Linked DNA regions of Caenorhabditis elegans. The protein of the gene in region 2 interacts with the protein of the main gene of each other region in a pairwise test. Each region holds a gene or a part of one and is shown on either strand. Other genes may lie near its edges.

What was found.
Region 1: the proteins of eif-2Balpha (region 2) and pbs-6 interact in a two-hybrid assay, tested with the Caenorhabditis elegans proteins (2 studies listed by BioGRID).

What each region holds. Positions count from the first base shown.
Region 1 is NC_003281.10:8,242,503-8,246,169, forward strand, and holds pbs-6 (Proteasome subunit beta type-1), read right to left. Parts: upstream 1,591-3,667; coding exon 1,325-1,590; intron 1,280-1,324; coding exon 886-1,279; intron 838-885; coding exon 721-837; 3' UTR 620-720; downstream 1-619. Other genes in the region: Putative zinc finger protein C02F5.12, read right to left, coding at 284-367; cids-1 (CID domain-containing protein 1), read left to right, coding at 1,943-2,080, 2,124-2,257, 2,300-2,483, 2,531-2,775, 2,828-2,975, 3,024-3,122; putative GTP-binding protein C02F5.3, read left to right, coding at 3,389-3,667. UniProt on the Caenorhabditis elegans protein: Non-catalytic component of the proteasome, a multicatalytic proteinase complex which is characterized by its ability to cleave peptides with Arg, Phe, Tyr, Leu, and Glu adjacent to the leaving group at neutral or slightly basic pH.
Region 2 is NC_003281.10:9,541,508-9,545,183, forward strand, and holds eif-2Balpha (Translation initiation factor eIF2B subunit alpha), read left to right. Parts: upstream 1-1,611; 5' UTR 1,612-1,634; coding exon 1,635-1,749; intron 1,750-1,801; coding exon 1,802-2,067; intron 2,068-2,130; coding exon 2,131-2,312; intron 2,313-2,371; coding exon 2,372-2,573; intron 2,574-2,621; coding exon 2,622-2,774; 3' UTR 2,775-2,897; downstream 2,898-3,676. Other genes in the region: Exonuclease mut-7, read right to left, coding at 1-587, 659-848; ZK1098.9 (uncharacterized protein), read left to right, coding at 2,944-3,085, 3,450-3,571.

The DNA.
Region 1 (3,667 bases), 1.3 Mb from region 2:
AGTTTGTGGAACATCAAAGTGAGTAAGTAGTTTGAGCCACTGGGGATTTTGTAAACACATTAGCTTAAAAGTACTATTCCTAATTTAGAGTTGTTTCCTACAGTAATATCATTCCAAAATTACAATTTTATAAAATACAGTATTTATGATTTTTGATCGACCATTACATAAAGAATAACCTGTCATATTATTTTTATTGCCAAAATAATTATTACTCAAGTTTTTCTAATCTCGGGAATATTTATATAATTAGAAGCTAAATGTTGCCAAAAGCTTGACCTACCAAAATAGATTGCAAATCGAGTCCTCGCATTTTGAGAACTTCCAAAGTTTGATTGTAGATGTTAACTTGAATATAAGTTGACATTTTTCAGTAAATACCAACTTGTCGAGTTGCAAAGCAGGAATGAATCAATGACACAGCTGGGCAGACCACAAAGTAAGAGACTCGAAACGCAGACGGTTCTAAGCAGCGCCGACTCACTCCTTCTTTTGCATTATATCTTGTGTCTCACTCGTGCGTTCTTGCCCTGTGTGTTTTCGCTCTCTGCATTTTTCTCTCTATTTTGTAGTTTGCGTTGGACGCCGAAATGTAGTCATGTTGTAGACTACAACATATAAGTGGAGGAATATTTATCAGATTACCGGGATGGTAAAACAATTTCAGAGGGGAAGAGGATACGAATAAGTTAAAATAAAATGAGATAGATACTGCAATAATTAATCCTCACGAAGTGGCAGGAACTTTACGACGACTGGCTTTCCGGCTTCAGCGATGACCAAGTGAATTTTGTCTCCAGTAGAGATTTCACGCTCAGCAGCACCACGGAACGAATCCTAGAAAAAATAAATGAATTAGGTTAAAATTACGAAATTCAATTATACCTTCATCAATGAGATGGCTCTGTCCAATGTGAGTTCCGGACGCTCATATCCTTCAGAGAGCGTAACGTGCCCGATTTGACAATCCAAGAATGGAATGATCATTGGTTCAGCGGCTCCACTGGCTGAGTATCCAAGACGCTCGATACATCCGATTGGGTCGTAACTGAACACGGCCCCTTTTCCGTGCTCGTCAATTCCGGCAAGAATAGCTCCAGTGTAGTATGGGAAGAACCGACGGTAATAGAGGTTGCGGGAGAGAAGTTCTGCGCAAAGATCCACAGACATGTCAGAGCGATAATCGAAGCGGTACTTGTGGAGACGAGATTGGAGAACTTTCTTCAATTGGAGGACATCTCCATAGAATCCAGAGGTGGTGAGGATGATGTTATCATTCCTGAATTAAGAATTATTATTAAAACAAAGACAAATACTGGCTTACAAAATTTGAATCTTCTCTGCGTCACGTGTAAGAATGTTGATGTCGTTTTGGGTCATTCTAGTATCACTTGCCACGATGGCAAAGTTCTCCCCAGAAATGGCACAGGTTGATCCTCCCTCCATTGAATACGGGTTCCAGCGTTGACGCTCAATTTGTCTGGAACTCATCCACTCTGGATGAGCTGCAACTTCCTTCATTGCCTGCTTGAACATTGCCATTTCATTGGTGGCGTTGGCGACAGCCGTGATTCCAGTGAAGCTTGTCATCTGAAAAAGGCGTATACTTATTTAGTTGAAACAATATAAATATTCAATATGACAAAATTCAATTAATACAGAAAACAAATGCTCGAAATTTGAGAATTCAACATAACAGGAAATGCTGACAATGAGAGACATCGTCATTTACAATGTTTAGTCCGCAGTTTTCTGCGCGTTCAAATGCACATCGCACATCGAACTATACGACACTTTGCTGAAATTTATTGAAACGCGTTTTCCTCTCTTTTTTGAATGAAAATTCATTTTTCCAAGGTATTTTTGAGGACAATTCATCGCTTTATCTACATTTCTGATTAAAATTTTTGTGATTTCTTTTTTTCAATAATTGATATTTCAGATGGCAGATTTCACAGAGCAAACTTTGCGACAGAAGTTAACAAATTTATCAAACCACCCTTCCTCAATTCAGACGACTTCTGCCTGGCTTTTGCAAAATCATAGCAATCGGGAATTGATCATTCGAGTTTGGCTAAAGGTATTTTATTCATATTGTATCATTTTTTAGTGTTGTATTTCAGACAGTAAAGAAAGAAACACACGGCTCAAAAATTGTAAATCTTCTTTATGTGGCGAATGATGTAAGCCAAAATGCGAGAAAGACTTGCCCACAATTCAAGGACGAATTTTTTCCCGCAATAGAAAGTTCTTTCAGGTATTGGCATTTTCAAACGTCTAATCTCAAAATTAATTTCAGGCATGCAATCGAGTTGAAAAATGCAAAAGAAGTGGAACATGCAATTGGTAAACTGATCAATGTATGGAAAGATCGTCAGATATTCACTCCATCACAATGCAAACGGCTTCATGAAGTTCATCAACAAGTTAAGCTATCTGGAAGCTTCCCAACACCCGCAGTTGCGAACAAGGAACATGGAAAGGTGTGTGAATTTAATAAATTCCAAAAGAATGCCAAAATGAGCTTAAGGTCGCTCAACCTAGTCAGTTCGTCGTTGAAGAAGCGAAAAAGAATGCACAAGATGTTTTGCTCAGTTTGAAGCGCCTTCAAAACCCGCCGAGCACGGAAAGAGAAATTCGCACAGAACTTTCAAAATATCCGGATAATATTTCGTGCCCAGAAAAGTTGCAGTCAGTTCGAAGTTCGCAAGAAGCACAGTCTCTGTTGGTCCAAAATGAAGAAGCTCTTCCGATGCTGGAGGAATATGTTAAAAGGTTTGATTGAAACTTTTGTGAATTGATTTTGTACATTAACTTATGCTTTCAGGCTGAAAAACGAGACAAATGAACGCGAAACTCTCGAATCGAACTTGAATATGCTTATAGAAAATGTTAGAATGAGCATTGAACATCACGAGAAATTGTGCAGAGAAGTTAAGCGTAGAGAAGATCGAATCAAGGCAGATTTGTTAGAGGTTTGAAAACTAGAAAATCAGTTTTTGCAGACTTGAATTGAATTTCAGGTTGAAAAAACATTCGAATCGTTGCCAGATTTGGCTGCTGAGATGCCAAATGCACCATTGCCAACACTTGAAGCTTTGTTCGAGAAGAGGAAAAAATAAGTATCATACTACGTCATAATTATAACTTTACGATCTCAGTAGCTTTTACTGTACCCCCATTGTTGTATAATTTTTGTTCACTTTGATCTTTTACAATCGTGATCACCATTACCACATAAGTGCTTTATACGTTTTTCTTCTGAACCACCTTAAATGAATTTATTTTTTCTAAAATTCAAGTTAGTTCTATTATCTGAAAACGGTTCTTAACCAGTGTTTATCTCTGAAAGTTTGAAATTAATTGTTTAAAAGCTGATATTTTACAGATGGGTATTCTGGAGAAAATTGCAGAAATCGAACATGAAATTTCAAGAACCCAAAAGAATAAAGCCACTGAATACCATTTGGGTCTTCTAAAAGCAAAGTTGGCAAAATATCGTCAACAATTGTTAGAACCAACAGGCAAAGGAGGTGCCAAAGGAGAAGGATTCGATGTAATGAAAAGTGGAGATGCGAGAGTTGCAATGGTTGGATTTCCTTCCGTCGGAAAATCGACTCTATTGTCCTCAATGACTTCCACTCACTCAGAAGCTGCTGGATATGAA
Region 2 (3,676 bases):
GATAATCGTCGAAATGAGTTTGTCCAACGTTTTTCCCGTCAATTTCTCCATAGGAATCGTCATAATTTTGGTTTCCTTGTAGGGTTTCAGCATCTCTTCAACGGCAACCACTGAGATTCCAACCATTCGATCAAAAAACTCTACAAGCTGCTGTTGCATCCTCTCATTGTTACTTATCAATTTATAAGCCGTTTGATCTTTGCCAGATAGCATTAATGGAAGAACAAGATGTTCGAAATGATGATCCCGTAGAAGATTGTACTGAATAGCCATATCTGCAGCAACGGAGAAGTCTTGTTTCTTGATGGCAGCATCTAGCAACTGTGTAATGTCCTCAGTGAATTTCTCTTTGGTGATATCGAAGATTTCACTGAGAAGCTGCTTTTGTCCAATTGTGCACACATCTAAGGCGTTTATTTGAATAGTTCCAGTCAGATATTTCTGTCTGAGCTCCGTCTCCTGTCCCGACTCTTTTAACCAAACTCCAAAATCCTCCAGATACCAAACCGCCAAACTTTGTCCCGATGTTTTTCCTCTATCCGGCATCGCTTTCATCATATCCACAGCCATTCCGTAGATGTTGACTCCTTTAAATGTATAGATTATGAATGAGGGTTTTTTAAAGTTTTTAATAATAAAAGAACTTTAAAATGTTTACCTGATCTATAGTCCTCGTTGAAAAATTCTCGATTTTTGGCTCGAACTTTTCTCTCCCGCTCAGACTCGGGTCCATTCATAATTGCTTTCAGAACTTCCCGGCGTGACTTCAACGGTTCGGCGTAGTCTGTTCGATATTTTGCCTTTTTCTCGGCTTTCGTTAGCTTTCTTTTGTACGGTTCTTCTTCCATTTTCGAAACGGACAAGCTTGATTCTGTAAAAAGTATAAATAAATATTTGTCGAAAAGTTAGTACAAAAGAAATTAATCAAAGAACAAGGAAAACGTGTTTCCCCACGAGAATTCGTATTACGGAGAGGAAAATCTAGAAACGGCCCAAAAACCGAAAGAACAACAGAAAAGCGTTGTGGATTATTCGATATCCAGCACTTTTTGCACAAATTGAGGCAAAAATAATGGAAAAAGAACCAAGAAATCAATGAACAAAATGGAAAATGAATTTTTAAAAAATTGTCGATGGTATTTAAGATGTGCAGGTTAGCGAATAGTACTGTATCACGGCGGCGATTCAAATGATCTACGAAGCAATTACACGAGGAAAATTAATGGAGATTATGGAGCAAATTGAGGGAATTAATTATAGTATAAAAGTTTCGAAAAGGAAAATTATTATTTATTATCCTATTTAGTTCGCCACACAATGGGAGATTTTAGATGCGTAAATAGTTGAGAGTAGAAAGTAAACTGACTGACTCAAAAAATATGTTTAAAATGTTTATTCGAGATTGAGAAAATAAATTAAATTTCACGAAACCTTTTAAATACATAAGTAAAAAAATGTTTTGTTTTTAAATTTGCCACTATCAAAACTGTCTAACTCTCTAACTCTTATCTTCTCTGCGTAACGATAGAGCGCGTTTACATCATTATTTTTTCATTAAATTTTTTCTATAAATATTTCTTCTTTCTACGACAAACGTTCTCCATTATTGTTTTTGCAGACTTTTTCCATCTAACATGGTTCAAGAAAGCATTATTTCATCTTTCCGTGGAAAACTTGAAAACGATCCAAGCAAATCAACGAGTCTAGCCACAGTGGAAACACTGCTCGAGGTTTTAGACCGGAGTCGCGGTAAGTTCCTGAATTTGAATATTTAGGCAATTAATTTTTTGCTTAATTACAGCCACCACCGTTGCCGAATTTCAAAATGAGCTAAATCAAGTAGTTGCTGCTCTCGAGAAAACGGACTACAGCTCAACATCAATTCGAAGTGCCGCTGATTTGTTCACCAGATTCACTTCTCTGGCTCCAGCTGCTCTTCTCGATCAAGAAGATTTTTCTCAAGTTCTTGATCTGTATCGCCAACGAGCACGCTCATTTATAAAGAATGTCAGAGGTTCTCGAGCCAAAATTTCCAAGTGCGCTCGTCTATTTTTCACTCATCATATGGTACGTTTTTTTTTCTATTTAAATAATTCCTATTTAATGTATTTTAATCTTTGTATTTTCTAGAATATTCTGACACACTCATACAGCAAAGTGGTTCTGGAAACTATTCTTGATGCTCACAAAAGTGGATATCACCTTCATGTCTGGGTCACCGAATCGCAACCGGATGCTTCAGGAAAACTAGTGTTTGAAGAATTGAAAAAGAATGGAGTTCCAACTACTTTAGTTCTAGATAGCTGTGTGGGGTGAGTGGAAATTATAAAAAACAATAAGAAAAACGTATATACATTTTTTATTTTTTAAGATATGTCATGGAAAGAATTCAAGCAGTTCTAGTTGGCGCTGAAGGAGTCATGGAAACCGGTGGAATCATCAATAAAATTGGAACTGTTAATGTTTGTATCATCGCAAAATCACGGCATGTTCCCGTCTATGTTTGCGCTGAAACTATCAAGTTTGTACGGGAGTTCCCACTCAACCAGGCCGATATTCCCCAAGAATTCAAAGTAATCAATTTATATCAAATAACTCAATCAGATCTTTCATTATTTCAGTATCGAACATCAGTAATTGAGAGAAACAACCTAGAATTGGAGCATCCCGATGTGGATTACACCGCACCCGAATTTCTGACACTGATCATTACTGATGTCGGCGCAATGAAGCCTGAAGCTGTTGGAGAAGAACTCATTAAAATGTATATCTGAGGGTAGAAATTTATTTGAACGTGTATTTAATTCAATCAAATTAAATTAATTTGTTCTTGTTTTGTTTTTTATAATTATGATTGGTTTTTTTCTTTTACAAAAATAAAAAATAACGTGGAACCCAAAACTATTCATTTCGAGTTTTTAAAAACGCTCATTCATCAAAAAGATGAGTGAAAAGCACTTTATTTTGCCATCTAGCATGCTAATGATAGTTTCGGCTGTCTTCGGAGGTATCGGAATCATCACTACAATCGTGTTCGTGATTCTGACAGTTCTTCATTCAAAAAGTGCGGTTTGTAAACCTGCAGGTTAGTTTTTGTTGCGAAATTGTGCAATTTTTACCCAGAAAGTACGGTTCCCGGTCTCGACGCTACAATTGTTAAATTCTGAAAGGTGTGTGCCTTTAAAGTGTACTGTACTTCGAATTTTTAGACTTTTATTAGTTTTTCGATATTTAAATATTTATTTATTTATCTGAAACTATGAAAAATCGATGCAAATTCCATAACAACGAAAATCTGAAATTACAGTACTCTTTAAAGGCGCACACCTCTTTGGATCTATCAAAAACTTTGCCGTATCGAGACCGGGTATCGTATTAGCATGACGAAAATCGCAAAATTATCTGGATAATATAGTAATGCTGAAGAATAAAAATTTGCACATTTTCAGGCAAAGAAGACATGAAAAAACTGAACGGTATCGAAGGAATGCAAACGATCAAAGAAGAATGTGGAGGATCAACTGAAACATCCTCGTCGAAACCGAAGAAAAAAGCCAAGAAAGAAGTCTGATTTTTTTTTTTTGAATAAATTTTAAATTTCTTCGTGAAGACCTTTTCTACGTTCTTTTAATTTATAAAATAGACAACACTTTTAACTTGATTTCCTACTCATTTC